4 linked regions of the Arabidopsis thaliana genome follow. The protein of the gene in region 4 interacts with the protein of the main gene of each other region in a pairwise test. Each region holds a gene or a part of one and is shown on either strand. Other genes may lie near its edges. The genes, in order: AT2G36340, DAR2, AT2G27930 and NAC028.

What was found.
Region 1: the proteins of NAC028 (region 4) and AT2G36340 interact in a two-hybrid assay, tested with the Arabidopsis thaliana proteins (one large-scale study listed by BioGRID).
Region 2: the proteins of NAC028 (region 4) and DAR2 interact in a two-hybrid assay, tested with the Arabidopsis thaliana proteins (one large-scale study listed by BioGRID).
Region 3: the proteins of NAC028 (region 4) and AT2G27930 interact in a two-hybrid assay, tested with the Arabidopsis thaliana proteins (one large-scale study listed by BioGRID).

What each region holds. Positions count from the first base shown.
Region 1 is NC_003071.7:15,231,813-15,239,365, forward strand, and holds AT2G36340 (DNA-binding storekeeper protein-related transcriptional regulator), read left to right. Parts: upstream 1-3,674; 5' UTR 3,675-4,045; coding exon 4,046-4,264; intron 4,265-4,353; coding exon 4,354-4,641; intron 4,642-4,728; coding exon 4,729-4,866; intron 4,867-4,990; coding exon 4,991-5,098; intron 5,099-5,185; coding exon 5,186-5,677; 3' UTR 5,678-6,092; downstream 6,093-7,553. Other genes in the region: AT2G36325 (GDSL-like Lipase/Acylhydrolase superfamily protein), read left to right, coding at 1-19, 378-658, 783-1,083, 1,210-1,412; AT2G36330 (Uncharacterized protein family (UPF0497)), read left to right, coding at 1,808-2,328, 2,725-2,860, 3,292-3,486; AT2G36350 (Protein kinase superfamily protein), read left to right, coding at 7,091-7,553. UniProt on the Arabidopsis thaliana protein: Probable transcription factor. Involved in stress responses. Plays a repressive role in cell expansion by counteracting the positive role of CPR5 in this process, but does not regulate cell proliferation or endoreduplication.
Region 2 is NC_003071.7:16,617,971-16,627,249, reverse strand, and holds DAR2 (DA1-related protein 2), read left to right. Parts: upstream 1-3,099; 5' UTR 3,100-3,591; coding exon 3,592-3,682; intron 3,683-3,761; coding exon 3,762-3,943; intron 3,944-4,732; coding exon 4,733-4,820; intron 4,821-4,939; coding exon 4,940-5,057; intron 5,058-5,346; coding exon 5,347-5,467; intron 5,468-5,582; coding exon 5,583-5,666; intron 5,667-5,750; coding exon 5,751-5,870; intron 5,871-5,971; coding exon 5,972-6,184; intron 6,185-6,278; coding exon 6,279-6,341; intron 6,342-6,430; coding exon 6,431-6,546; intron 6,547-6,626; coding exon 6,627-6,694; coding exon of another isoform or gene 6,695-6,753; exon of another isoform or gene 6,754-6,968; coding exon 6,969-7,300; 3' UTR 7,301-7,507; downstream 7,508-9,279. Other genes in the region: eIF6B (Translation initiation factor IF6), read right to left, coding at 7,658-7,915, 8,020-8,261, 8,347-8,477, 8,584-8,686, 8,782-8,791. UniProt on the Arabidopsis thaliana protein: Acts redundantly with DA1 and DAR1 to regulate endoreduplication during leaf development.
Region 3 is NC_003071.7:11,888,713-11,895,228, reverse strand, and holds AT2G27930 (PLATZ transcription factor family protein), read right to left. Parts: upstream 3,133-6,516; 5' UTR 2,987-3,132; exon of another isoform or gene 2,872-2,986; 5' UTR 2,861-2,871; coding exon of another isoform or gene 2,779-2,860; coding exon 2,353-2,778; coding exon of another isoform or gene 2,260-2,352; exon of another isoform or gene 1,894-2,259; coding exon 1,741-1,893; 3' UTR 1,501-1,740; downstream 1-1,500. Other genes in the region: SCPL51 (serine carboxypeptidase-like 51), read left to right, coding at 6,186-6,315, 6,436-6,516.
Region 4 is NC_003070.9:24,519,312-24,527,986, reverse strand, and holds NAC028 (NAC domain containing protein 28), read left to right. Parts: upstream 1-3,726; 5' UTR 3,727-3,878; coding exon 3,879-4,035; intron 4,036-4,946; coding exon 4,947-5,224; intron 5,225-5,301; coding exon 5,302-5,634; intron 5,635-5,744; coding exon 5,745-6,116; intron 6,117-6,214; coding exon 6,215-6,305; intron 6,306-6,389; coding exon 6,390-7,054; 3' UTR 7,055-7,319; downstream 7,320-8,675. Other genes in the region: AT1G65920 (Regulator of chromosome condensation (RCC1) family with FYVE zinc finger domain-containing protein), read left to right, coding at 1-1,867, 1,953-2,099, 2,182-2,543, 2,633-2,720.

The sequences.
Region 1 (7,553 bases), on a different chromosome or scaffold from region 4:
GTTTCCACTGATTATCTCGGTACGTTTGAACTATAATGTTTTGTTTGGTAATCTGTCACAATATCTGAGTCTGTAAGATTTATAATATTGTAAACAGATTGCAAAGCTCAGTGAAAAACTCTTAGATTAGATATGTCTTAGCTGTACATTTGCATTGCATCTCTTATATAATGAAACGCAAGTCAATAAATTTTGTTCATTATAATTTGTTTTAAATGTTGACCATATAAGTATTTAGTTTAACGTTTTCACTCTCTCAAAATGCAAGATATCTCTAGTTTAACGTAAATCGGTTGCCAACAGTAATTATACCCTATATATAGAAAACATATATTATGCAATAAATCTTATAGTTTGACTTATATTGTAACATGTAGCGAAGTATATTGGAGTTAGAACGCCGATCACATACAAATGGGGGAAATACGGACGACCGAGACTAGCTGTGAAAAGAGGAATGAATTTCGCATATGGTGGAGCCGGCGCGTTTGAGACAATGTTCAAATTAGTTCCTACCGCTAGTGTGCAGATTGATTCCTTTGAACAACTCCTCATGAGAAACGTTTATTCACCGGCCGATCTCAACTCTTCCGTCGCTTTCTTTAGCATCATCGGCAATGACTACCTTACTTACGACAGACGTAATGGTTCTGAAGAGGTACAATATACCTTTTCTTTTCCCACTAGGGTTGATCAAAATTGATTACTGGTTGACCATTTTTGATCCATATATTATATAAGTTAACATTTTCGATTTCTTTTGAAAATATAAAATCTGGCAGGGTCGTTCAGCACTCACAAGGAAAGTAGTGAAACAGATTTTGTTGGATGTGAAGCGAATTAAGGATTTAGGAGTAAGAAAGGTGTTAGTGGCTTTATCACCACCGCAGAAATGTTTGCCGAAGCTTGTCACTCCTAAAGGCTGCGACACCAACGACACCTCGACGTACCTCCACAACAGTCTTCTCCGCAAAGGACTGATAAAACTAAACGATAAGGAGATTAACAATAATGATAAAAGTTTCATGACGTTAGATCTCTACAATGCCTTTGTGACCATATTCAAGAACAAAGGAGTTTCAGGTACGTAAGATATATACCAACACTGTATATGACCAAACATAACCGATCACGTCTTTGATAGATTAAACAGAAATACATATACCTAAATAGATGGGATATATAATATAAATGTTTAAATTTGGGCAGGAGTTTCGACATTTCCGGATCCGTTTAAGGCATGTTGTGCAACAAAACGAGGTACCTTTTGTGGAGATAGAAGCTTGAGTGGTAAAAAGTTGTACACTCTTTGCGATGATCCAAAATCATTCTTCTTTTGGGACAATGTTCATATCAGTGATCAAGGATGGCGTTCTGTTTTTTCTCTTCTTCTTCCTGATTCACAGTTTTAAATCAACTAGATCAATATGCAATAATTCTCCATTCTAATGATATATGATGATTATCAATTGTCTTCATAACAATGCATACAAAGATTATTTCAATACCCACTTAAATAATAATTATTAGCTAGAGACTCTAGTCTAGAGTCAAAACCAAGGGCCACAAAGAACAAATCAAAGTTTTAGGTGCGAATTGTCAAAACTAAAATAGTGGGGCATTATACGAAAGAACCAAGAATACAGGGAGAAGTAGACAAAGAATCTTGCAAAGTCTTCTTTCTGTGTTTGATTCTCATCAAAGACTTCACTTTTGTTCTTTGTCGCTTCAATTCAACGCTTATTCCTAAATTCGATTTTGCGTTGTCAAATTCCTTAAATTTCGTTACAAAGGTTTGATATTTCCGATGAGATCTCCAGCAAAGACGATGCCGTCGATGTCACCTTCTTCAGTTTCCACGGAGAAATCTCCACCTCCGTCAGATACTTCAATGGCTATAGTAGCTTTCGATAACTCCACTACTCACTTCTCTTCTTCTCCATCGCCGCCACATTCTCTTGATCATTCCAGTGAATCGGAGAAGGAAGATGCGAAAAGTAAACCCGAGAGTAGAAGAAACAAGAATCCTGGAAAGGTTGAGGAAACTCCATCTCCGATTGTGGTGGTTCATAATCACAATCGCTCTGTGAAAGAAGTGGTTCCGACGAGAAAGAGTGCGAGAGTTGGTTCTGGGAGAAGTAGTGGCCAACGATCTGGAGCTGTTTCGGCTATTTTGAGAAGGTCTAGGAGAGAAGAGGTGGTAAAGTTTTCAGCTTTAGGGTTTCGGTTGAGTGAGGTTGTGTTGGCTTTGATATCTTTCTCAATTATGGCTGCTGATAAAACTAAAGGTTGGAGTGGTGATTCTTTCGATCGTTACAAGGAGTACAGGTAATTATTTGTTGTGTTTGTGCTTATTTCTTCGCAGATAGTGATGTTTCTTGAATTTAGGTTCAGGGTTTATTTTAGGGTTTAGGGTTTTATCAGTATCACTAGTGTTGGTTTTTTGATAAGAAATTTGGATTACTTTAGTTTTAGTACATGTGAATTGTCTTTAACACTTGCGTGGTCCAAGTCTATGTTTTGGTTGAACTTGGTGAAGTCCTTAAAAGAAGTAAAGTTTGTTCCTTTTGACATTGATTTTGATTTGTTGGATCGTAAGAATTCATTTGCAGTTTCCATTTTGTTGTTTTGGTCAAACATTTGAAGTCAGTTTAGTATGATTTGATTTTTGATTTTGAGACTAAACTGATTTATCTATGTGTCATCTTCTGATATCTGTGACAGGTTTTGCCTGTCTGTGAACGTGGTTGCTTTTGTATATTCTAGTTTTCAAGCATGTGACTTAGCGTACCATCTTGTCAAAGAGAAGCATTTGATCAGCCACCACCTTCGACCTCTGTTTGAGTTCATTATAGATCAGGCAAGTCATTAACACTTATGCTGTACTCTCGATGGTATTCCTTTGTTACTTTCGTTCTTGTATGAAGTATGATCTACGTGGTTGCATCTAGGTGATGAGAAAAACTTGGCTATAGATAATTCCTGATACTTTGACTTGCACCATCTGCTGGTATTTACCCTGTCTCCTGTGAATCAAAGAACAACACTTTGTGGTTAAAGTCCAATATTGTTACTCTTTTTCTTTATGCTTTAGCTTATAGCATATGTGGAAAGGGATTTATCTTATAGGTCGGAAAACATGGTGAAAGTGACTGTTATACTTGTTTGACCAAACTACTCCCTTCATTACATAATTGAAATCTCTTTCGTCCCCTGCAAAACATTTCAAAAGCATGTGTAAAAACAGATGGAATTATGAATAAGAAAGGTTTGTTTTGTTTGTGCAATCAGGTACTTGCATATCTGCTTATGTCTGCCTCAACAGCAGCAGTCACTCGCGTTGATGATTGGGTTTCAAACTGGGGAAAAGACGAGTTCACAGAGATGGCAAGTGCCTCGATTGCTATGTCCTTCCTGGCCTTCCTTGCCTTTGCTTTCAGTTCCCTCATTTCAGGCTATAACCTATTTAACCAAGGCTCTCTCTGATCCTCCCACCTTTTTGTATAGGTCCACACTCCTTGTGTGATGTATAATAAAAATGATCAATATATCTTAGCATTGTAATTATTATACTATTTTTGTAGCCTATATAAAGGTTTCCAAAAACTATGAGGTTAATAAGAGAGGCATATCCTGTTGTCAAAAGGGTCTTTATAGCCAACTAAATAAAGACTCTGACAGAGCAAAAGGCAACAACTTTTCAGCTCTTGAGCCATATGAGTGTCCTCGATTGTAAATGAGACCTCAGACTTATCCATTGTGCATCTTGAACCCTGAAGAAGGAAGAAGAAACCATCTTGCACAAGCCCAATGTTTAAAAATGGAAAAGGGTATTTTAGTCATTTACGTTTTCGACACTCGGACTTCCTAGTTCCTACGCCTGGAGAATATCAATAGCCGCCAAAGGATTGATCGTGCTTTTGCTTCGTATCGTCTCTGGGTTTTTAAATAGAGAGACTCGAGAGACTCTGTTTGACAATAGGGTTTTGAGCTTTCTGAGAGTTTTATATAACTTGACAAAGTTTTGATCTTTCATCACCGATCAATGGTTGGTACGAAGAGAGTTGCTGATTCCATCGACACCAACTCGGATGACACACTCACGAGGAACCGTGAGGTTGAAGTTGAGGCGATGCTCAGTAGGAGAAAGCAACTAAGGACAACAACGACGAGGACAACAACGACGAGGACAACACCATTGAGCTTGTCTTCCTCTGCTTCAAAGATGAACTGGTCTAAAAACGATGAGCTTGTCATTCTCGGGGTTAGTTAGTAAATTCTTTGCAGCTTCTCTATATTCTTCTTTATCCTCTTCTAACTTTTTTTACTCTATTTTGTGTGTGTGTGTAAAAGGGTATTGTGGACTATGAGAATGAAACGAAATTGAGCTATAGATCTGACTGGGATGCCTTGTACCGTTATATCAAAGATTGTGTAGAAGCAAAGTTTTCGAAGATTCAGCTCATCAATAAGGTCAAGAACATGAAGAGAAAGTTTACATACAATCAGGGGAGATCTAACCATGGGGAACAACTTTCTTTTACTAATACTGATGATGATGAAATCTTCAAATTGTCATTGATCATATGGGACAAGAATGAATCAGAGTATGTTTCTAATGAGAATATAGACCAAGCTAAGGTGAGTGTCTTTGTTCTGTTTTTCAACAATCTCTTAGACTACTAATGTGCAATGAATTAATGATCTTGTTTTCTTGATTTGCATAAGGATGTTCCTTCTGGTGAGCCAGAGACTAATGATGTGCCTTGTGAGGAGCAAGACGATAGGGATGTGCCTTGTGAGGAGCAAGAGCGAGCGAATATCGAGATTGATAATGGTGTGAGAGAGAAATTGGACCAAGCCAAGGTGAGTGTGTTAGTTCTGTTTTTTCTACCAATCTCCTTGTTACCATCTTAAAACATGATGTAAAAAATTGTGTTACTAATGATGTGCAATGAATTAATGATCTTGTTTTCTTGTTTTGAATAAGGATGTTCCTTGTGTGGAGCAAGAGAGTGAGGATGTGCCTTGTGTGGAGCAAGAGCGGGTGAGTATAGAGATTGATAATGGTGAGAAAGAGAAATTGGACCAAACCATGGTGAGTGTGTTTGTTCTGTTTCTACCGATCTTCTTATTACCACCTCAAAACATGATTTATTGATCTTGGTTTCTTGTTTTGAGTAAGGATTGTGAGGAGCAAGAGAATACGGATGTGCTTTGTGAGGAGAAAGGCGATAAGGATGTACCTTGTGAGGAGCAAGAGAATAAGGATGTGCCTTGTGAGGAGCAAGAGCGGGTGAGTATCGAGATTGATAATGGTGAGGAAGAGATGAGTAGCGAAGAAGATGGTGTGGATGAGGTAGGTGTTATGGAGGACACACTTGATTCTGGGATATCGTTTCAAGGTTTAGGTAAAAATGGTGTGAAAGACAAGAGTGAAGAAGATGATGTGGTTGAGTTGGGTGTTCTCCAGGAGATATTTAAGGAGGATACATTTTTTCAAAGTTTAGGTAGATATCAACAAAAATTGCTGCTTCAGAATTTGGAAAACGTTGGAGTTGAAAGAAGAAAAGAGCTCATCAACGAATGGAAGGCATTGTTTGTTGATGAGCAGCGATTGTGTGTCAAGAAACTAACTTTCGCCGCAAAGCTTGCAAACTTAGGAGTTTCTCCTTGATTCAATGAAGAAAAATCTCTGCTTTTGGAATGATCTCATTTTTTTTTGGTTGTGTCATATTGATAAGAAAAAACATGATGTATCCACGATCCGTTCTTGTTCTAGAGCCAGGTAACTGAGGTAAGTAACAGTTAGAGCTAACCATAGCAGATTCTCCTTTTTTTAGTGTTGTGTTTGTTTCGACTCTTCCTTTTGGGTTGGGCTTCGATAACGATTGTTCAGGCCCACTAACATTCTTTTCTTATTGTGCGTCTGTCTCTTTCGAGAAAAAGACACAAGCACTTAAAGCCAAGATTCGCATTTTGCCACATGCCACTAATTTCACCTTGTGTTAGATATTATTTTTGTACTACACACTCAACGAAGACCATAGATCAACTCAAAATATTTATTACACAACAATTATCGGAGAAGAGATTGATGTGAAATGTAATGAAGACGAAAAGAAAATAAAAAAAGAAACGACGAATTTGGACGTAATTTTCAGCCAAAACATATGCTTTGGGTCCCACACTTTCACATTTCAACTTTATCATCACACCGAAACACTAAACACCAAAATCCCCGACAAATTTAAAGAAAATTTTTCCATTTTTTTTTTTTACTCTATCTCTGTGAGAGATTCTCTTCAAGCTCAGGCCTTTAGGCTTTAGGTTTCTTTTGGGAGTCTTCTTGAGCTCTGTAATCACTCTCTAGAAGCTTATTTTGCCTCCTAATGTTATTAGGTACGTCTTTGTATCTGTACTTGCTTCTGCATTTTTCGATATTTGTTTCTTTTGATGAGATTTGGGGACTCTTCCTTCAGAAGGATTTGAAGATTTTGACATCTTCCATTAAAAGTTGAATCTTTACTTAAGCTAGTGTTCTTAGCATTCTGTTTATGTTAGCTTCATGAGATCTGGGATCTCGAGGCTGCTTTTTTTTTTTGCTTTGATTTCACATTTAATGGGTTTTGATTACATTTTCATTAGGTGAAGTGAGTTGAACTTGGCTTGTGGTTTTGATGAATTTCTTTCTATTAAAAGTTTTGGTTTCCCTACCAAAAAAATGTCTTCTTTTTGTTAATTAAAGTCTAAAAGTAGCTAATCTCTATCTGTACTTGTGTAGGGTTCATCATTTGAGTCTATAACTATAATGACTTTCACTGTTCATTTCCTTTTTAAATCTCTTGTTGTTTCCCTTTCCTTACTTTGTTCATCATTTCTCCTTCCCTTTACTCAATAGACACTGCTCTTCCTTTGGATTATTGCTCTGTGAGTTATTTAAAATAAGCCATAAGGTCTCTTCTTATGATTGTTGCAGGGTGTTGTACTGGAATTATTAGGATGAACCAAGGAAGATGAGTCTCTCGGTCTTTCAAAAACCAAGTCTTGTAATGAGGAGCTGTCCACTGTTGTAAAGTAAGTCATTAAGATGGAATCCTTTGCAGGTTCTTGTGAAATTGTTGAGGAGAAGGATGCGGTAAGGTTAGCCAAACATTCTAGCAGATATTGTATGTCACCTTTGGGATCAAGTAAAGATATGGAGCAGCGTCCTGCATTGAAGTCAGGGTACCAAGGTTCTATGGAGTATGACATTGATCAGCTTTTCCAGTCTATAACTATAAAACCATCACCTAGAAGAGTGATGGGCTCTTCTTTCCATCATCTTGAGACGAGCGCAAGTGCTGGTACGAGCAGGAGCACAAGCCCTTCAAATAAAGGCGCTATGAAAAAGCCCTTTCCCATGGGAACCCCTCGATCACCAAGAGTTGGTCCCTCTGATTCAATATCTCTGAAGCAGGCTCTGAGAGATCTTTGCATCTCCAAGGCATCAGAAATGGCTTCCCAGAAACGTTTATCAAAATCTGCAGCTGCATCTCCGAGGGTTTCTGAAG
Region 2 (9,279 bases), on a different chromosome or scaffold from region 4:
GACGAAATTAACACCTTTGAAAATTGAAATAAAAGAAACTGAGAAAATAACTGACAAGTTAAAGAAGAAAAGATGAGGGATACAGGACGACGTCGTTTAGTGAAATTCCAAAACGGGCTTTAGCTTAATCGGTAATGGGCCGTTTATGAGATCTAACAAGTTGTTTAGTAGGTTCGTGTTACTTTTGTGTACTAATCAACCTAACAAGTAATTCAAAGAATAAATGTGGTAACTTCAATCAATCATTTGGGATTATTAACAATGTTTCGTACCTATTTTTTTCTTCTTATAGTTGTGTGAATAATGATGTGTTTAGTATATTTATAAGAACACGAAGGATGCAAAATGTATCATTTACCAGAATTTTTTCATCCTTTTTGTAAGGAAAAACTATAGTTATGTAATTCTACATAGAAAATGAATTGGTACGGTTAGAGATGTTGTTGTGGGTAAAAAAGCCCAGCCCGACCTGAATCCAAAATAAATCCGTCCACCAAAAACCCAACTTTAAAAAACCCAGATGGATTTTTGATTTAGTGGGTAAAGCCCGAAAAAACCTGATTGTTCCGAGACTACCTGTGGGTACCCAACTTGATTTTTATTATTTTCTTATAATTTATGTTTAATTGTTAATATACTATTATATGTATGTTGTATCTATATTTTGCTTATAAATATATTTTAAATTATATTTATTTTTTGTATTACATATATATTTGATGGGAAAAATGTTAAATTGCGTTTTTGGCGGGAAAATGTTAAATTGCGTTTTTTGACGGAAAAATGTTAAATTGCGTTTTTGGCGGGAAAAATGTCAAATCCTTTTCTTGGCCGGAAATGTTGAATGTCGTTTTTGGCGGAAAAATGTTAAATTGCGTTTTTGGCGGAAAAATGTTGAATATCATTTTTGGCGGGAAAATGTTAAATTGTGTTTTTGACCGAAAAATGTGAAATCTTTTTGGCGGAAAATGTTGAATGTCGTTTTTGGCGGGAAAATGTTAAATTGCGTTTTTGGCGGGAAAATGTGAAATCATTTTTGGCGGAAAAATGTTGAATCGCGTTTTTGGCGGGAAAATGATGAATTGCGTTTTGGCGGAAAATGTTGAATGTCGTTTTTGGCACGAAAATGTTGAATTGCGTTTTGGCGGGAAAATGTTGATTGTCGTTTTTGGCGGGAAAATTTTGAATGTCTTTTTTGGCGGGAAAATGTTGATTTTTTTTTTGGTGGTAAACTGTTAAATCGCGGTTTAGGAGAAAAAAATGTGAAATCTTTTTTGACAAAAAAATGTTGATTCACTTGAAAAATGATTTTAAAAAAAATCGTGGGTACCCATAACCCAATGAGGTAAACCCATATGTGTTTTATTTATTTGGATACCCAGCCCATTTTAAACCTGTGTTTTATTTCCAGAAAAAATAGATCTATGAGCTTAAAATTTTATGTGTGTTTTGGGTACCAGTGGATTTTAACCCATCATTAACATCTCTAGGTACGGTACTCTAGTGGTGGCCTACATTGGTTGATAAAGTCATAAAGTCAATATCGTTTAAACATGCAAATGCAAATTTTATGGACCGGATTAAGTCGGAATGATCCGTATGTTGAGGCTTGAAAGAGCCCATCAATGCAATGGAAAATAGTCGTCTCTTTTCTTTTCCTTTCTTTTCTTTACGATCATAAAGTTCTCTTTTTTTTTGGGTGAATATTGTAAAGGTTTTGAGTCATTCTTTCCAACTCAATTCCACGTTTCTCATCTCTCAAGGCTTTTTACTACAAAAATCTTTACAGATACAAAGTTAGAGATTTATAACAACTTGGATAAGATGTCTCATGCATGAGATAAGAGAAAGTAAATTCTTGTATTTTAGGTGATTAAAGGAATAAAGACATATGCAGCATTTTTGCATCGGCTACTCAAACTCAGCTAAATTCTTCGCTATATATATATACTTTATTTTGTTACAATAATTGTATCAGACTAATACAACTTGATCCATGTGTAGGAAAGTTTCAATAAGATTGATCGTTTTTATGTTACCAAAAATAAAAAAAGATTGATCGTTTAAAAAGTCATTCTTAACAAGAAATAAATACTTGTTGAACTAGAAGTCTAGAACAAATACATTTGTTCAGACATTTTAAATTGTAAGATTAATTACATTCACAAAAAAAATTGTAAGATTAACTGAGGAATATAATGATGTAATAGGAAACTAACGCAAATGCTTAAAATGTTTTAACATTTTCATGATGAAAAATAAGTAAACATCTTTGGGGGTATAGATACTTAAGATAAAATATATAACTTGACAAGAAAAAAGAAAAGATAAGCATTTTCTTTAAATGAGAATTCCCAAAAACAAGCAGCCTTAATAGAAAATAAGTTATGGATCGTCCATACAGAGATCGACTTTAGCAAGTTGATAAAGAAATGGTCAGATCTCAAGGTGGAAACTGTTGCTGAAAAAAGCTAGATTTGATCTGATGCTGTCTTTAACCCAAAATATTAATTTGATCCCAAAAAAAAGGTAATTTAATCGAAAGAAAGAACTTAAACATGACAATAGGTTAGGCTTTTGTTCTGTAAAAATTGGGTGTCTGATTCCACTTTGAAGCCTCTCTTTCACCTTTGCTGCGTCATCACCGGTCACGACCTTCCTATAGATTGATGCCTCAAATTATAAATAACAATATTATTATTGGTCCGTCGTTTGTAATGTCATAAAAGCTTAATTCCCATTATAAAGTTGTCTGTGGTAACGTTGCAAAAGCGCATCTTTATCGTGTATTAGAGTATGACCTTTGTTAATACGCCCATATTATGTATAGTGCAAACATTGTTATACTACTTCTCATGGATTCATGAGTCGGATATTTGAAACCCAAAAACAATTACAAGAATCATACAAATTTTGAAACTAAAGTTTTAGTTAAAAAATAAAATGACATATCTTCAATGTAGCTATAGATTCATTAAAAACTCGGTGAGGGTATGAGACCATAAAAACAAAAACAAGGAAAATTTAACAAAACCAAAGTTTAAAGGCAAATAGTTAGAGCCGATGGAACGAGCGTCTCCATCAAAACCCAAAAAGAAGAATTTTTTTTTGCTTTCGTTTACAAATCTAACTTTTTGGTTTTTCTCCCCAACAAAAAAAAAAAAAATAAAGTGTAAAAAGAGAGAAGCTTAAAAGGTTTCAACTATCTTCCTCCTCCCCACACCGTTGCTTGAAGGATTCTTCCGCCTCAGCAAAAACCAAAAAGACAAAAATATTCTCTTAAAAAAACATCTCTTTCTCTCTGTTCCTTTCCTTTCAGAAGCTAAGCATCTCTTCCTTTTCTTTTTCTCTTTTAATTTTTTTTTGCCCGATCTCTTCTGCAAAGATTCTCTCTTTCTTTCTTCTCTTTTCATTTATGTTTTCATTCTCTAATAACAAATTGTAATGACTTATAACTTCTTCTTCTTCTCCCCTCTTCCTTCTTCTTCCTCCTCCTCTTCTCTTCTTTGCTTCTCTCTCCGGCCGTCGTTTTCGCTTTACTCACACGTTTTCAAGTATATTTAATCACGTGGGGGCCATTTTTCCATCCTCATGGATTCTTCTTCCTCTTCCTCTTCTTCTTCTCCTTCTTCTTCCTACGGTGTTGCTCGTGTCAGCCATATCTCCAATCCTTGCATCTTCGGTGTGTTTTCTTTTCTTACCAAATTCTATTCTTGAGACTAAATATTAAAAGCGTAAACCTAACGTTTTGATGATTACAGGGGAAGTTGGGTCGTCATCTTCGTCAACGTATAGAGATAAGAAATGGAAGTTGATGAAATGGGTGAGTAAACTTTTCAAGAGTGGCTCGAATGGTGGTGGTAGTGGTGCTCACACTAATCATCATCCTCCTCAGTTTCAAGAAGACGAGAATATGGTCTTTCCTCTACCTCCTTCTTCTTTGGTAATTATTTTCTTAATTATACTCGTTTAATTTGAAACATCTTTTCTTTGAAAAAATATTTCTATTTTAATCTACACACAAATACTATAGACATGTGATTTTTCATATTAAAAGCAATATACAGAAGACATGTGAACATACACTACTGTTTTACTTTTTTTTTTTTTGCTCGAGTTGTTTGAAACAAATAACATGGGTCATGTACATTCTGTAAAATTGTCACATCTTTGAATGAGTCGGTCCATTTTGTATTTTATTGTTGTCATGAGTCTCGTTGGGTTTTGATGCTCAAATTGAGATGATGTGACAATGTGGCCTTGAGCACTATTAGGGATAACAAAAATAGGTAGAAAATGGTTTATAAGGTTGGTTCAATAAGGAGTATTTATTAGTGGCCGAAGTTGAGATATTTTCGATTCATTTTCATGTATTATTCGATTAGATTCCAAAGTTACATAATTACTATATTATTATATGCTTTAATTTGATTGTTTATTAAGATTTATTTCTTAATTCTGTATAATCAAAATATTTCAACTTTTAAAAGTTAAAATGAACTACCTAGCTCATTGTGGTTAGGAATATAATTTTAATCCATGAATGAAATAGATAAACTGAGGTGGCCTATTTTGATACCTTTTTTTTTTTGTCAACCTGTTTTGATACCCTTATGCATGGTGGTGGAAAATTATTTTTATCTGAAATATGCTAATTTGTTTCATCAACTATTTTCTTGATGCCATTTCAATATTTTTTTAATGGTCATGTCAACGAATAAACGAATCACAGGATGATCGGTCAAGAGGTGCACGGGACAAAGAAGAACTCGACCGTTCAATTTCACTTTCTCTAGCTGACAACACGAAGCGCCCACATGGTATTTCTATCTACTTTCATGAATTAAAGTATTTGTTAGCAAAAAAAATTGAAGTTGGTTAAAAACGTTATTTCTATTGCATTAGAGAATGAATTTTAATTATGAAATAAATCGTGCAGGGTATGGTTGGTCTATGGATAACAACCGAGATTTTCCAAGGCCTTTTCACGGTGGCTTGAATCCATCATCTTTCATTCCACCTTATGAGCCTTCCTATCAATATAGACGAAGACAAAGGTACAACAAAACACATTCTCATAGTGAAACAAAAAAAAAATATTCCTATCAAAAGTAAAATAAAAATAAGCTGTTTATTGTAGCATTATTTCAAAAATACCTACGTCACGAATTTCCAAATAAACCTTGGTTCGAACTTTTAATCGTGACATTGCAAATTATGGAAACAAACTTAATATTTTCATTTCTTGAAACTTGATTTCATGATCAACTATCGTAGAGAATATAATTTATTTTGCAGCCATTTCCAAGTGCACATTGGTAACGTGGTTTACGTGATTTTTAGCAGAATATGTGGCGGTTGCAATAGCGATATTGGATCGGGGAACTATCTAGGATGCATGGGCACATTCTTTCATCCTGAATGCTTCCGTTGCCATTCTTGTGGTTATGCTATCACTGAGCATGAGGTATACATATATGCACACATATATATATATATAATAATCAATATACTCTTAATTTGTGTTAATGTCCTTCTGAAGTGACTAAGGTTGTGTGTTTTGTCTTCTCTCTTGATTCAAGTTCTCTCTGTCAGGAACCAAACCCTATCATAAGCTTTGTTTCAAAGAGCTTACTCATCCCAAATGCGAAGTTTGTCACCATTTTGTAAGCAACGTTACAATCACCTTGAAATTTTTTTTAAACATCATATATTTTTATATTAGTTCCAATTCCATATTCTCTCCTCAGATACCAACTAATGATGCTGGCTTGATCGAGTATCGATGCCATCCGTTTTGGAACCAAAAGTATTGCCCGTCTCACGAATATGATAAAACTGCTCGTTGTTGTAGCTGCGAACGTTTGGAGGTAATCAAATACAAATAATTTAACTATTGATGATAAGTCCATATCTATTCTTTTTTAGCAAATTAATTGTGTTTTTTTCTTTCTATGTTGTGATCATGTAGTCATGGGATGTGAGATATTACACGTTAGAGGATGGGAGAAGTTTGTGTTTAGAATGTATGGAAACCGCGATAACCGATACTGGAGAATGTCAACCGCTTTACCACGCTATAAGAGACTATTACGAAGGAATGTACATGAAACTTGATCAACAGATTCCTATGCTTCTTGTTCAAAGAGAAGCTCTCAATGATGCTATCGTAGGAGAGAAAAACGTAATATCTTTTAGCTTATACATAACCATTTTTGTTATAGTTTCTCTCAGAATACAATAAGAGTTAATCCTAGATATATCTGTATGTTTCACAGGGATACCATCACATGCCTGAGACAAGAGGTTTATGCTTGTCTGAAGAACAAACAGTTACAAGTGTATGTCTCTTCCTGGAAAGTTACTTGAAATTTTGATTCTAAACAGTAATTTTATTTTGCTCTGTTTTTTATTTTTTGGTTCTTCACAGGTTCTTAGAAGACCGAGACTTGGTGCTCACCGTCTTGTTGGTATGAGAACTCAGCCTCAAAGGCTTACACGCAAATGTGAAGTCACAGCGATTCTAGTTCTTTACGGGCTCCCGCGGTACTACACTACTCACTCAATTCTCAAATTCCCTTTTCGACAGTAAATGACTACTAACCTAATCACTTTTGTGGATGAAGATTACTGACCGGAGCAATTCTCGCCCATGAGCTCATGCATGGATGGCTAAGGCTTAATGGTACATACTGTAAGATTTATTTGGAGGTCACACATGTATTAATCAATCTGTTAAGAGTCATTATTTAATATCAAAACCTAAGTGGTCACCTTAGTATAAAGTAATTTTCAATCACTTTCTTGTCTTACACGAAAAGTAGGAGGAGGGGAAAACTAGGTTTACGGTTGTTCGTTTTTTTTTTTTGTTAGTTAACATTAATATGATTTTGTGTTATATGCTACATCTGTTTTGTTAACTATAACTATCAGCATCTTAAATTCTTTTGATTTCTTGTTTCTATTAGGGTTTAGGAACCTTAACCCTGAGGTAGAGGAAGGAATCTGCCAAGTCCTCTCTTACATGTGGCTTGAATCTGAAGTTCTCTCAGATCCTTCAACAAGAAACTTGCCTTCAACATCATCGGTGGCCACATCATCATCATCATCCTTCTCGAACAAGAAAGGAGGAAAATCAAACGTGGAGAAGAAACTTGGAGAGTTCTTTAAACATCAGATAGCTCATGATGCGTCTCCAGCTTATGGAGGAGGTTTCAGGGCAGCAAATGCAGCGGCTTGTAAGTACGGTCTTCGTCGAACACTCGATCATATCCGCTTAACTGGAACTTTTCCTTTGTGATCAGATTTAATGTTATGTGTCATCTTGCTATATGTTCTTGATTTGGATTTGATGGATCACACAGCGTTTGTGTTAACTTTAAATAGAATCTCAAGACAGACTTTATCTCCCCTTGGATTTTGAATGGGGATATTTGTTGCTTGGAGATTTTATAAGAACAATGACTGAATACTAATAACAAAAAAAAAGGCTTTATTTCCAAAGAAAGACCAAAGAAATTGCTGATGAATGATAATCAATATGTTTCCAAAATCTTAAACTGGAACAAGAAGAAATTACTACTTAAAACCAAGTCATAAAGAGCAGCTCCTTGAACACATTTTGGCATAAACAGTAAAAAAAGAAAACAAGAAAGCGTTAGACATAGGTATCGATCAAAGACTTCCTCATTTCACTACCGACGAAATCAGGCTGAGATTGGACTAGTTTGAAGATATTGTTAACAACAGAGAGCTCTACTGCAGTAGTATCTGACCCACAGAAAGCGGTCCAATCGTTCACAGTCAAACCCGCGGATATAACTTGGCTGCCACGGTTCACGGTTCCTGCAACCAAAGGCACCTGAACAAGATTCGCTAGCTCGACCATTTCTTCCACGTTGGTATTTGAGTGAACCTGTACATCATATTAGCTAGTCAGGTGATTTTCTAGTGAGACAAATGCCACAAAACAAAGACGAACCAAAAGAATGGGTGTTTTTTATATAGTTGTCTACTAACCATTCCACCATTATTGGATAAAGAACAATAACTTCCCACAAGTTCGTTATTCGCAATGGTTTGGCGATAAACTTCAACACCAAGAACATCACTTATTATCTCTTCGGTGTCTTTCTCGAGCTTTGGATGCACAAGCGCGACATAGTCATTGCAAGCTATAGCGTTTCCAAGTGCACATATAGGTTCTTCAATTCGTTGGACTACAACTTCATCAGGCAAACTATCTCTCAAATGTTGAAGCTCTGTTCACATTATAAAATAGTCCCTAATTAATAAAAAGATTATTACAATAACTATATGAACTTGGAATAGTGGAAACCAAATCACCTTGGTCTGTAATGGTGTGAGACAGAAGAAGTCCGTTTTTGTTTCCGACACATAGACTACCAATAGTCCCTGATCCTCCTATGGAAGTAGTAACAATTGGGATAACACCTTTTAACTTCGACTCATAACCACTACAAATAAATTAATTAAAATTACAAGTCATAGAAAAACCAAACTTGTACGTGAAAACTTAATTAGACAATGTGAAGACTCAAGAGTGTATGTATGTATATATACGTGAAGAAGTTTGCGGAGGCAGATGTTGCGGAAACGAGACAATAAGCATTTGTGAGTTTGGAAAAGACACCAATTTCGCAATTATTGTTATCATATTGAAGACCTGCCAAAAACAAGAACAGAAAAAAAAAGAACAATCCTGTAAGCAACTTGAAAAGAAAGCATCGTATAAAAAGCTAAAGCTTAAGGGAAACTCACGAGTCGCCATGATATGGATCCAACAAACACCTGCGGAATTAAGTAACACGAAAACCTAATATGAGATTATGAATTTCAATACAGATCCAAGGCAGAAACAGAGAATGAAAGATTTAGGTTTTCGGATCATTGGTTATGCTATATTGAAAGATTTAGTTTTAAGGTTTACCTTGTCGACAAATCGGAACAAAAAGTGACGGAACGATAGGAAGAGACCCTATTCTCTCTTCCGAAAACCCTATTTATATATCAGAAACTTGGAACAAGCTTATGCTACTTATTTCCATTTATTAGTTTTGGTAAATAATAAAAAAGTTAAAAATTAAAATTTTGAGAGGAAATTGTGAATGTAAAAAGAAAATGATTTAATCTCAATGTGTTGTTATAACTTCTACGATTCAACAATCAGCTGCACCAATATAAGAAATTAAACATACTCATAATAATAATATCACTCCGCTCATCACAATGATATCTTTAAAATAACTGTCCAAAAAA
Region 3 (6,516 bases), on a different chromosome or scaffold from region 4:
TCCTAGCGATGCAACATAAGCAGGTTCGAACAAGTTATTTTGTACTAGCTCCAACTTCTTAGATTTCAACTTCCTACCATCACTCAAAACCTAACCCGTTTCCGCTTTCCAAGGATGCAACTTTCATACATGTAGTGATTTAATATCTTTAAATTTGGAGATTCACCATTTGTTACCATGAAATTCATACATTTCTCGCTCATATGCCTCAATCTATAATGCCACAACTCAGTTTTGTTTTAGGCATTTTCGGCAACATCAACTATATATATCTTCATAGTTAGTGGTCATATAAATAGTGTCTCTTTTATAGCTTTTTGTACCTGTCATGGAACCCTTTGTCACTATTCAAGCTCCACAACCAACATTGATATCGTGTCATGTATCATCAAATTGTCCAACAAAAAATAGATTTCACATCACTTTCGGACATGTCTAACCTTTGTGATTTTCCATACAAGCTCATCTGACATCTTCAGGTTAATGTCTTCAACACCAACAATGTCCAAAGATAATCCATCTACTAGAGATATCTTCTCATAATTTTGGGCAACATAGTTCTCCATTATGTCCTAGGGAGCATTAGTGTGGAAAGAGGCTCCTGAATCAAGAATCCAAGAATCGATCTGACTATAAGCTGAAGAGATCGATGCTTCTCGCAGTGCGATCAACAACCGCAACATGAGCTTGACTTCCTCTTGGAGAATTATACTACCAATGCATTATGCATCAATTATTACTTTTGTACAATTCCACAATTCTCTAATTATTCTCGAGAAACGACAACACGTAATTCATAATTAATGTTATAACCTAGTTTTTTCTTAAAGTGCCATAATATATTATGTAGAACGTGAAGGAAATTAAGGTCGATGCGTACTAAAATAAGACCATCCTTTACGTAAAATTTTACCACTTAAATTATTTATGTAAATAAGTGAAAGTTTCATTTTCTTTTTTAAGTAACTGTACCTTTCGAATACCTAACGCCTACGACAAACTATTTTAATTATATAACAGCTTAGAATTAATGTCGAAGAACATTTCATGTGTCTATACAAAACATATACACATTCATGTCCCTTAACCATTTAGATATTTTCCCAAAAAAAAAGAAAAGAAAAAAAAAACCATTTAGATACACAATTATTGATCCCTAAACCCCACACAATTTCAGTCTAAACTAAAATATTTAGTAGCTAGATGGATATAGAGACAGGTAACTTCAAACCACCACATCGATTAGTTATTAGATTATCTACTCGGAAATAAAGTATACAGTATATCTCCACCGACATTCTCATAGTCTAACTAATGCCTAAATTTTCATGTTATTCCTTCCTTCCACAAAGAGTCTTTTTGAACTCTTAATTTTTGTATAATGTGTTTTAAAGGTAAGACTTATATTTCACAAAAATTAATTAGTATATCAAATAGAGTCCATCCTACAATCCTACAGTATAGATATATGTTATACAATTAGCTAGAAATGTATTTAATGTTTTACAAAAAAAAAATATAGGGAAATTAGGATTTTCTTCTATACAAATTGTTGGTTTTCCATGTGAGAGGATTGTGAGAAGTGAGCTGGACATTGTACAAATTGGGAATATATAAATACACCCACCCAATACGCATATACTATGCTATGTTTGGGTGGACCATTAACTGATGATTTTAAAAAGATAAAAATAAGTTAAAGAAAAGTTTTATTTTATTTCTTGAAAAAGATTGATTAAATTAGGAGGCAAAAGGAGCTCTATGAGGAATGCCTTTTCGTCGCCTAGAATTAGAGGTATGAGTTGGAGGATGCGTGCCTTTGTGCGTTTCTTGTTGTCTTTCTTTACGCAATCTTTCTTCTTCCTCTTCCTTATTCTTCCTCATTCCTTCAACCTGACATTTTTATTATGATCACATCATACATTTCCGTTATGCAAATGTACCATATACTTTTTTTTTGAGCAAAATGTACCATATACATATATACAAACATCTAACCTCGTATATATTTTCTTAAGATACATTATATGAGGCAAACAACATGTATTAAGCGAGTTTGAATATAGTTGATTCAATGAATTTACCATACAAGTAACTAAACATTATACGGTGTATCCTTAAACCGATTCCTCATTTTATATCGGACAAATAAATGCGAAGATATTAGTAATAATGATGAAAATATGATAAACCAATTTTGTTGGTCCAGTTGTAAAGTGCTCGTTAGATAGATTGACTTATAACTATGCATTCGTTTTTCTATGATATGAAGTTTACAGGTTTTTGCTCATGATTTATCCATCCAGCTACAAAAAGGAATTTTGCATTGAGAAAAGGTGTAGGAAAACGAACCTTGCAACCCAAGGAACAGAAGCGAAAGGGATCAAGAAGGGTTCTGCAACATGTCTCACAGAAGTAGGACATGGTTTTCGGAGTGGAGGAGGCGGCACCATGGGAGGAGTTCTTAGGCTGAGGTCTCTCGTTTAAGAAGAGAACCCTCGCGCTATTGATGACATAAGTTTGCACTCCTCTTATGTCCAATGCATTCTCTATCTCCGATACTCTCACCACATCATGATACGACGATCTTCTTATCTGTCTCAATGTTAATGATAAAGAATTGGATTGAGTCAAAAGTGATATATATATATATGTGTATGCATTGTGTGTTGAGAAAATGAAGGACCTGAAGGACGGGATGATCAATGTGAAAGGAGGAGCGGCAGTAGAAGCAAAACGCAGCGTTTTGACAGGAGAGACAGAACATGTTGCACTCATTTCGCGGTGTCTCGCGATGTCGAGGGCAAATGCTGAAGAAGTTTGTTCTTAAGAGACCTTCGAGCCATTTCGGCTCCTCCATTAATCTCTCTCCTGTTTTGTTTTTCTTAGACAATAATTACAATATATACAAAAAGGGAAGAGCGAGACAAAACCTTATGAACAATGTAATAAATTACGAAGAACATGCTCTTGCCATTTGCATTACCTTTATGAAGATGATCAGTAGAGGGAGAGAGAAAGGGTATTAGATGATTGATTTTTGAGACAAGAGGAGGAAAAATCAGATTTTAAGGGTAAGAGAGAAAGGAAGATATAAATTTTATTTTATTGTTGATAAATGAAGATTTTATGTTTTTTTCTTCTTATTTAGGATTGGTAGATATCTTTTCAATTCTTCTCTTAATTATTAAATATTTATTGTTAATAGTTTATTGGGGGAGGAAAGGGAAAGGATATATAATTAGATATGATGTTTGGTTAAGGTTGATTCCTAACCGTTGGATGAGGCCATTGAGTAAATGAGTTTGATGACAAAATTACAAGCTAATTAAATGTGTATATAGATCAAAATTTGTTCCAACTTTGACTACAAAAATAACCAAAATATTAAATGATAATACTTTAAATTTAATATATATATATATGAAAATAATTAAATTCAAAAAATGTTTCTAAAATATATTTAATTAACATTTATGATTTGAATAATAGATTTCTCGAACTATTGAAACGTGTACATCCAAAAGAAACACACATTATCAACATATGTCAAATTAAAGAGATCAAAATTTGTTCCAACTTGGAATTTAATTATAACCAAAAAATTATAATGGTAATACTCTAATTTTGACATATCTATATCAATAAATGAAGAAGAATATATATATATATATATATATATATATACATATATAATTTATGGTTTACCTAAGAAATTCTTCAAACTATTGAAACGTGTACGTCCAAAAGAAACATACATAAATTATCAATATTTTCCACTTGGTATTAATCTTTTGGTTTGTAAGGTTGATCTTTTTGTTCGAGCCAACATTAAACTACATTAGATGGAATGTTGGCTCGAACAACCACATTATTCAACTTAGTTTAAAGAGTTTCAAACACTGTTTATCCCCTCATGCAAAATTTGAATCTCTTTTCTAGGTGATGACATTCCTCATTTCACTATCTTTAACCGATACTGCTTTTGAGAAAGATTACAAGGAGTTAACTCGGCTGATGACGGCCACGTCTGATGAGTGGTCTGGTCTGTCAAAGGGTAAATTTGTCTATCATTAGCATGGTGTAGAGAGAACCTTCTAATGTAAATCTTTGACTCTTTGTAGTGTCAATTGTAAAATTGTATATGAAATCCCTCATCAAGTAAAACTGCATGAATGATTTGTTAGTTGAGAAGATCGATCATTTGGAACAAAATAAAAATAAATTAAAATATTACAGACAAAAAAAAATATTACAAACACGTAAACTAAAGTTCACACTAATCGGTGGACCTCAAATATGATGGGGGAAAATGCCCGCTAATTACTCTTTAGGGAGGGTGCTAGCCTACGTGGTTGGGCGTGCCGTTTTGAGATGGAGAGCATCCGATCAGGACCAGTGTGTCAGTGATTGAGTTTGGAGCCCATTTCTTCTTATTCCTTTTGAGTTAGTTGATATTTCCCTAAGTGACTTTTTCTATTGGGCATTCTAATGGACCTGGTTTTGAACCTTTTTTGCCTTCAGTTTAGTATGCTTTTATTAGGTTAGGCGTTCGGGTATTCACATATAGAGTATAGATTGATTGGTTCTATATATGCGAAAAAAAATTAACTGACAAAAAAAATTATGCGATGTCTTGTGCTCGAAATAAAGAATAACAATTAGAAAATACGAATCTAGGGTTCAATCCATGGATAATTACTTGGAAAAATCCTTTACCTTGTAGAAATTGACATGCTATTTTATACAAAAAGAAACATAAGATGTCAATTTCTTTGTGTATAAAACATGCAAGAAAATTATTTGTTATAAAAAATATAGAAAATGTGAATTCAGATGGGTTTGAATGTGTTTTGGCCTGTCACCTTTTTCGTATGCTAACTTAATTTTTTTTTTAATTTGTTTTTATAAAACAAATATGGTTATAGTTAGCCTAATTAATTATAGTTGCGTCGTTATTATTATTATTATTTAGTAACAACATAATTTAAAATCGGAATGTTTTGTGTGAATAGATATACTATCTTGGAATTGAAAACTTTTATCAAACTTCTGACATGAAAGCTAAGTTTGGCCATGTACGTATGAGTTAAGATATTAAATTGCCTGAATATTCAGATGTACTTTTTTGAAATTTTATTTTCCTCTTATCTGTTTTTTAGCTCAAGAAAGTGACGCAATACTGATAGCCAACATGTGGAGTAGTTGTTGCATCGACCTTACGTTAATTCCCCGAATAGCTAAATATCAAATTGCTTTATCATCTCTTACTATTTGAGAATAAATTCAGTTACGGTATTTATTAAAAAGGATAACGGACTTACGCATGAATCTATTCGTAATCAATGAGTGGAAACCACTTTTTTGGTGTCATAGTTGCATTCGTGCCGGCCGCATCATCTAAGAAGCAAACCAAGGAGATTGTTTTTACTACTACGTTGCTCTTGCTGTCTTGCAAAAGATCAACAAGTAAATATCCACCCATAAACTCAGGCCCGATATCCAAAATCCAGTATAGACACTAGGCAGAACACTATAAGTAGCAATCTACACTTCATAGACAAAAAAGGCTAATCAAACCTAGTTTCGTCTTAAGAAAAGTAATAATCTAAAACAACACTCGCTCAAAAACAATAAATAACATAATTTACGTGATGTTCTTCTGTTTCCCTCAAATCGAATGAATCCATTTTTCCTTGAGTGGTGGAGGTTCATCGGAAATAACCATACCGATATTTTTCATGACCACAATACTTTATTCCGTCGTACACGTTTATCTACGATCTAGCAATCAATCTACGAAGCCAAGAAACAAGAACAGAATGTGGATGACCAAAATTTTGTGCTACAAAAAAAATTATCCAAAAATATCACAACCTATTGCTGTCAGAAAAACAAAACAAAAATATTAATGTTCTCTTATGGAAGAAAATATTTCTTTTACTTTTTGGTTAATAATTACAGTAAGAATTTAGCTGACATTCTATCTTTACTAGTGAATTTTCATTATATAATATATAGTATATATATACCAAATAAGGTTGAACCAATAGCATTGACTTAATGACTTGACACTCCATAATATATTGCTTCCTATAGTGTCTTTATCCCTCTCAAATTTTCTTTTCTCTCTCCCTCTCCCACAATCACAAGATAGGAAAATTGATCCACAAAGAATCGTCTGAATGAAGACAACAGTTGTTTATCTGGTGATTCTATGTCTCATTGTTTCATGTACCAATGGAGAAACCAAACATGTAAGAAAAATTAACTCCGATGGATCCGAAGCTTGGGGATACGTCGAAGTTAGACCAAGTACGTTCTTTATCTCTCTTTCTTCTACCAAAATTTTCAAGAAATCAATTGGTTTATGTTAGATATGACTAAATGGGTTTTGTTTTGACTCTTTTTTCTAAATCAAAATCGTGAAAATAGAAGCACACATGTTTTGGTGGCATTATAAAAGTCCATATAGAGTTGAAAATCCTTCCAAGCCATGGCCTATCATCCTCTGGC
Region 4 (8,675 bases):
GTGTTTGTCGAACGGGTTGTCATGTTCTTCAGATAGTTTTGCTGAATCTGATGCCTTGGGTCCAGTTTCTTCTTACTATGAAACAGATTATGATTTCAGGAACTCGGATTGTGATCGTAGTACAGGTTCAGAACTTTGCAGGTTTTCATCACAAAGATTTGCTGCTTCTCCTCCTCTTTCTATCATAACACAGCCGGTTACAAGATCCAATGTCCTTAAGGACATTATGATATGGGGAGCTATAACGGGTCTTATCGATGGATCGAAGAATCAGAACGATGCGTTGTCTCCTAAGCTTTTGGAATCTGCTACGATGTTTGATGTACAGAGTATATCTCTAGGTGCAAAACATGCTGCGTTGGTTACAAGACAAGGTGAAGTGTTTTGTTGGGGGAATGGAAATAGTGGGAAGCTTGGACTTAAAGTTAACATCGATATCGACCATCCGAAACGCGTTGAGTCTCTTGAGGATGTTGCAGTTCGATCAGTGGCTTGTAGTGATCATCAAACGTGTGCTGTTACGGAATCTGGTGAGCTGTATTTATGGGGAATTGATGGTGGAACCATTGAACAGTCAGGAAGCCAGTTCTTGACTCGGAAGATATCCGATGTTCTTGGCGGATCTTTGACTGTTTTAAGTGTTGCTTGTGGCGCGTGGCACACGGCAATTGTGACTAGTTCTGGTCAGCTTTTCACTTATGGTAGTGGAACTTTTGGAGTTCTTGGACATGGGAGTCTTGAGAGTGTTACAAAGCCGAAAGAAGTTGAGTCTTTGAGACGCATGAAGGTCATATCTGTCTCTTGTGGACCGTGGCACACGGCTGCTATAGTGGAAACCGCGAACGACCGGAAATTCTACAACGCCAAGAGTTGTGGAAAGCTGTTTACTTGGGGAGATGGCGATAAAGGACGGTTAGGACATGCTGATAGCAAGAGAAAGCTTGTGCCAACTTGTGTTACTGAACTCATTGATCATGATTTCATAAAAGTCTCTTGTGGATGGACTTTAACTGTTGCTTTAAGCATTTCAGGAACGGTTTATACAATGGGAAGCTCGATCCACGGACAGTTAGGATGTCCGCGGGCAAAGGATAAGTCGGTAAATGTTGTTTTAGGCAATCTAACACGACAATTTGTCAAGGATATTGCTTCAGGTTCACATCATGTAGCTGTTCTAACTTCATTTGGAAATGTTTATACTTGGGGAAAAGGCATGAATGGACAACTTGGTTTAGGTGACGTTAGAGATAGAAACTCTCCTGTTCTTGTTGAGCCTTTAGGTGATAGGTTGGTAGAAAGTATAGCTTGCGGGTTGAATTTGACGGCTGCGATCTGTTTACACAAAGAGATCTCTTTGAATGATCAAACCGCTTGTAGTTCTTGCAAATCAGCTTTTGGATTCACAAGGAGAAAGCATAACTGTTACAACTGTGGTCTATTGTTTTGCAATGCATGTAGTAGCAAGAAAGCGGTAAATGCTTCGTTAGCACCGAATAAAAGCAAGCTTTCTCGGGTTTGCGATTCTTGCTTTGATCATCTATGGAGTATAACAGAGTTTTCAAGAAATGTTAAGATGGATAATCACACTCCGAGGATGCAGATGGTTACACGAAGAGTATCTGAGGATTTGACAGAAAAACAATCAGAGAATGAGATGCAGAATCTTCCACAAGCTAATCGATCTTCGGATGGACAGCCTCGATGGGGACAAGTCTCTGGTCCTTCTCTGTTTCGTTTCGATAAGATTTCGACAAGTTCTTCTTTGAATCTTTCAGTCTCAGCAAGGCGAACATCTTCAACGAAGATTTCAACCTCGTCTGAGTCGAATAAGATCTTAACCGAAGAAATCGAAAGGCTAAAAGCCGTGGTAATTAAACTACTTCTTTTTGTTTTCTTACCTGTAACAATAGTAACACATTAGACACTAAAGATACATTTTTATGAACATGTAGATAAAAAATCTCCAGAGGCAGTGTGAACTTGGCAATGAGAAGATGGAAGAATGTCAACAAGAGCTCGACAAGACATGGGAAGTTGCTAAAGAAGAAGCAGAGAAATCGAAAGCTGCTAAAGAGATAATAAAAGCCTTGGCATCGAAGGTAAAAGATACATAGTTTTTTTTAATCTTTCTGTTTTTGGTTTGTTATGTGACCGACATTTTCACGGTATCTTTGCTTGCAGCTCCAAGCGAATAAAGAGAAACCGAGTAATCCTCTGAAGACCGGCATTGCATGCAATCCTTCTCAAGTCTCACCAATCTTTGATGACTCAATGTCCATTCCATACCTCACACCAATCACCACAGCTCGTTCACAACACGAAACCAAACAACATGTAGAGAAATGTGTCACGAAATCCTCGAACCGTGACAGCAACATTAAGCTATTAGTAGATGCATCGCCAGCCATCACAAGAACAGGGTATCTCCAAAACGAAACACAAGACTCGTCAGCAGAACAAGTTGAGCAATACGAGCCCGGTGTATATATAACTTTCACGGCCTTGCCTTGCGGTCAGAAGACGCTTAAACGCGTACGGTTTAGGTAAAAAAATGTTAATGTGCTTTTAAGTGTTTATATAGTTTGAAGTACGCTTAAGTATTTATATGATTGGTTTCTAACTTTGGTTGCAGTCGGAAGAGGTTTTCAGAGAAGGAAGCACAAAGATGGTGGGAAGAGAAGCAGGTTTTGGTCTATAACAAGTATGATGCTGAAATATGAAACTAACTTTTGAGTTTACTTCTTCGAATGTATTTTAATTCATTTTGATGTTTGTTAGTGAATATATGTAATGCAGAAAAATTTCTTTATTTAAGAAAAAATGAAAAAAAAATACTGGGAAAAAAATTCCAATATATGATTAATAAAAATATTTTAATGATCATCTAGGAAATATATATGCGAGTTAAGAAAAATGTTTGTGATTTTGAGCAATGAAGAAGACTTGCATAGTATGTAAATGTAAGTAGAAATATATCTAACATGCTATCTTCAAAATGCGATTGGTTCAATATTACCATTGAGGCATTGACCACGAGATAGAAAATAAAATGATGTATATCAAATATAAAACTTTCATTCTATATTATAGAAAACGTAATAATTGACTATGAAATGTGGCTTAAAATGTGTGAAAACAGTGAGAAAGCATCTCAAAAATTAACAACGTAAAAAATAGTTTACTTATTATGTTTTCTTAAAACCTTACATTAAGTTCTAGTTGTTGAAAATTCCTTATAAATATGTCAAATATGTCACGTCCTTACGTTGGTCGATGCCAAAAAATATGACGAGCAAAAGTTATTAACTAGTATAGGTTTATACATATATATCCGTTTTTACAAGCAAAAATAGTTATCAAATTGTCTTTAATTGGTTACTTTTAATATTTTCACTAGGAGCAAAACTGATAAATGAAATTGACAAATATCTAGTCTATATGCATAAACACGTTACGCATGGATGAACAAAAATAAACATGTTTAGATGAATTATAATGAACGTGAGTTTTCCAACATTGAACATGATACCGAAAAAGCTTATTAAGAACGTTACTGAGAATCAAATTTACACGGAAATATATAAACACATTAAAGTAAAAAGAAAAGTTAAAGTGGAAAATATGTTGTGGGGTTTGCAATTGGCAACCGACCCTAAATGCTTTTTCCAGCTTCTTTTACATAATTTTAATCTCTTTTTGTCTTTCTTACAATTTCATCACTGATCGATCGAATTCAAACCCTTATGTTACGCTTCTTTCTTATATAACTGTCTCTTCATATTCTCACTCCTTCTCCTCCCTCTTCTCCTTTTTCTCTCTTAAGTTCTATAAATGTTCATATTTGTTTCTAGCTAAGAAGTTTGTATAAGGCAGTGGACATGGCTCCTGTTTCAATGCCTCCAGGTTTCCGGTTTCATCCAACAGACGAAGAGCTTGTCATATACTACCTCAAGCGAAAGATTAATGGTCGGACTATTGAGTTAGAGATAATACCCGAGATTGATCTTTACAAATGCGAACCTTGGGATTTACCTGGTATATTTCTCTCTTTGCTTCTTTTTTTTCTTTTTCATAAGATGCAAATCTATCATTTTTTTTGGTCATCCGCAAGTATTTACCATGGACGAAGGTATAAATTTATGATTCTGCATCGTTAGTACATCAACATGTTGTGTCTCATGTTAAAGAAATTTTAAATGAGACCATACCATAGCAACCGAAGGAGAAGACTCTATCTGGTTCTTTTCTAATATGTCATAATCATTTGATTGATATGCTTAGTGTAAGATCATTTTTTTTTGGAATTTAGTAAGAATAACGAAAAATAGATTCATTTTTCTGAAAACTACATAATGTGAAACTAATGTTTGAAAGGGTAACCCTTGAGAGAAGAGACACTTGACGTCCTTTCTTTTTCGAAGATAGATGTTCTTTCCCTCTTTTTCCTTAACATAATATAATTCCCATTTTATTTTCACATTTTTACGTACCAAGTTATGTATCTCTAGTCACGCATCGAACTTGGAATCGAACGTGAATGCTTTATCAACTAAATAATCTTTAATAATTATGATCCCAACTTTATGTTAGAATAAAATTTAAATGGACCCACCCTTATCTTTAGTCTTTAAAAGGATTGTAATAAAACCGAGAGATGCGGTGGTGACTAGTGTGAGACAAATTCGGAAGACCGAGTCAAAAAAGGTAAGAAGATTGAAAAAAAAAGATAATAAGTAACTCACAATAATTTCACATGTGCTTTAGGGTTTTGGAAGCTTCTCATTCACCTTCAACTTTTTGTTTTAAATATAAAACAATCTAATGTTCTCTTTATTTGTCTTTTCTTTTTTAATCTTTTGGATTCTCATGACATGTTATGGAATCTTTAAGTAGTGTGTACAAATTAAGATTGGATATAATTTATCTTAATTGTATGATCCTTGCAGGGAAGTCCTTGCTGCCAAGTAAAGACCTAGAATGGTTCTTTTTCAGTCCTCGAGACCGGAAATATCCAAACGGATCAAGAACAAACCGGGCGACCAAAGCAGGTTACTGGAAAGCCACCGGGAAAGATCGTAAAGTGACTTCACATTCACGGATGGTTGGAACAAAGAAAACATTAGTTTATTACCGAGGAAGAGCGCCTCATGGCTCTCGTACCGATTGGGTCATGCACGAGTACCGTCTTGAAGAACAAGAATGTGACTCTAAATCCGGTATACAGGTAAGCTAACTTTTAAAAAGGTTATCAAAAGATTAAGATTCTTAACTTGAATATAAACCAATGTATAAACATTTCAGGATGCCTATGCACTTTGTCGAGTATTTAAGAAGAGTGCTTTAGCCAACAAAATTGAAGAACAACACCATGGTACGAAGAAGAACAAAGGAACGACTAATAGTGAACAATCTACTTCTAGTACTTGTTTGTATTCTGATGGAATGTATGAAAACCTCGAAAACTCGGGGTATCCAGTCTCACCTGAGACAGGAGGCTTAACTCAACTCGGTAATAATTCGTCGTCGGATATGGAAACGATAGAGAATAAATGGAGTCAGTTTATGTCGCATGACACGTCCTTCAACTTCCCACCTCAGTCTCAATATGGAACAATCTCATATCCTCCCTCGAAGGTAAAATTTAAACTATATATCTCAAAGAAATACAAAATTAAAATTGGTGAATATGTAACCTTTTGTTTTCAAACTAATCTCTTATCCATTGAATTCTCCTCATATAATAGGTTGATATAGCGTTAGAGTGTGCAAGACTACAAAATCGTATGTTGCCACCAGTACCACCACTTTACGTAGAAGGTCTCACACACAATGAATATTTTGGAAACAATGTAGCTAACGATACAGATGAAATGTTGAGCAAGATTATAGCATTGGCTCAAGCCTCACATGAGCCACGAAACAGTCTAGACTCATGGGACGGTGGTTCTGCTTCCGGGAACTTCCATGGAGACTTTAACTATTCCGGAGAAAAAGTCTCATGCCTAGAGGCGAACGTGGAGGCTGTAGATATGCAAGAACACCATGTGAATTTTAAGGAAGAAAGACTTGTTGAAAACTTGAGATGGGTAGGAGTATCAAGCAAGGAACTTGAAAAGGTAGTGATATTTTACAATGTTAAGTGCAAAATATTTTATGTGTTAATATATATGTTATCAAATATAAGTATATGTTTGATTTATTCTACAAATTTCAGAGCTTCGTTGAAGAACACTCAACGGTAATTCCTATAGAAGATATTTGGAGATATCATAATGATAATCAAGAACAAGAACATCATGATCAAGGTAGCTTTCACTTCGCGATTTCTACATTTGGTTGTCTTTCTTGACATCTCTGGATTTGATTTTTTTGTTTTGTTGTTGTTGAAGATGGTATGGACGTTAACAACAACAATGGAGATGTGGATGATGCTTTCACACTCGAGTTTTCGGAAAACGAACATAACGAGAATCTTTTGGACAAGAACGATCATGAGACAACGAGTTCCTCATGTTTTGAGGTGGTAAAAAAAGTTGAGGTTAGCCATGGATTGTTTGTCACAACTCGTCAGGTAACCAACACATTCTTCCAACAGATAGTACCATCGCAAACCGTTATAGTTTATATAAATCCGACGGATGGCAATGAGTGTTGTCATAGTATGACATCAAAAGAGGAGGTTCATGTCCGTAAAAAGATAAATCCGCGAATCAACGGAGTAAGCTCAACAGTTCTTGGACAATGGAGAAAATTCGCGCATGTTATTGGCTTCATTCCTATGCTTCTATTGATGCGTTGTGTTCATCGAGGTAACTCTAACAAAAACAGAGGCAGTGAAGGTTACTCGAGGCAGCCTACGAGAGGAGATTGTAACAATCGGGGAACAATACTCATGATGGAAAATGCTGTCGTGAGAAGAAAAATTTGGAAGAAGAAGAAAGAGAAAAATATGGTTGACGAACAAGGTTTTCGGTTTCAAGATAGTTTCGTATTGAAGAAGTTGGGGCTTTCTCTTGCTATCATCTTAGCTGTTTCTACCATAAGTCTTATTTGAATACTGAGGTTCAATATATCATATATGGCTTTTCACTTTTCTATTGTACTCCCATTTGCCTAGGTCGTATTTACTCTCATTTGCTTTTTCCATTTCTCTAAAGTCGTCTAAACAAAACTAGATTTGGTTATTTTCTGTTTATGTATTAAGTGATATGATCTCTCCGCGGGTTGAACGATCAGTCTTCTGTCTGGTTTTTATTATTATTATTATGTTTGCATGCACGTAAGACGGTAAGAGCAGATTATACGAACATTAACAATTTAGCCATCTTGTATTTCAGTATTTTAGTCACTATAGATATGTGAGTAAGTTTATAGTCATTTTCATAATAACTTGTTTATTATAACGATTGCTGTTCCATGTTTTGCAATGTATAGATCATCAAAAATTACTATCGAGCTATTTTGTTCTTGAATCTTGACAGATAATATTTAAGAATAACCTATACGGTTCAAACTGTCGGTTTCAATATTAAAACAAATGTGAATGGAAGATAGAGAGAGGAAAAAAACCTCTCTTACAAAAGAATCTAGGTGCGTCAGAGAAGCTCGCCAATCTCATGGAGCCAAGATTTGCTTTCCTGGCTCTTAATAGTTTGTATGGATCGGCGATTGAAACTTCATTATTCTCTCCCAAACAAAACATAGAATAAACGAATGTGTCTAACGCTGAGTGAAGAGGACTAGACGGACTTGCCCCGTCATAATATGCATATTACGATACGTTGCAACATTAACAATGTCGTGAGTATGCATATCTCATAACATACCAAATATCGATACGTTTCAACATTGAATTTTTAATATCTTAGTCATTAGCAATTAATAATTAAATCTTCTTTTATATGAACAAATTTATGATTTACAAAAAAAATAGATGTTATGTTTCCATGGATCATGTTTTCAAGCTTGACCGAAAACAAGCTGCTAAAAAGTGTCATAAAAGTTTGGTACTAGTACAACTAGGATTTTGTAACTCTAGCACAAGAACCAGTTCAAAAGATGATTATGCATACTGGATTTTTATAGATATTGTTGATTCTTGCATGGCAATCAAAGAGTTTGGCAGCTAGGTATACCTTTAGGGGTGATGTCGACACCTCTCATCTAGCCTTACTTGCTGAAGTATAACTACAATTGAATCTCACTCCCCCTACCAGAAACTGTTTCCTTCCTCATCTTCATTAGGATCAGATCGGATCACAACAACAAACTTCGTCGAACTCAACCACGATGGACAGTGGTGGCTGAGGTTCGTTGCCTGTTTTAGGGTTGAAGATTGAGATGCGTTAAGTGACTTGTGAGACTTTAAGTAACACACAACGACATAATTTAGGGTACTTGGGCCTTAATGGGCTGGATTGGAGTGTTACAATATACAAAGTTCATCGGAAGTTTAGGTTTATTTTAAAAGATGTTCAATGTGGATCCTAATTTCATGCGTTTTAAAATACTTTAAACATAAATCCCAACCAAAAACAAAAAACTCCCAATATCCTTTGAAATTTACAAAGTTCTTTGAAAGTTTAGGTTATTTAAAACATTGTTCCGTTGAAATATGGATCCATTAATTTTCATGCGTCTTGGTAAGATGTATCATATTATGGATATGGCTTTGA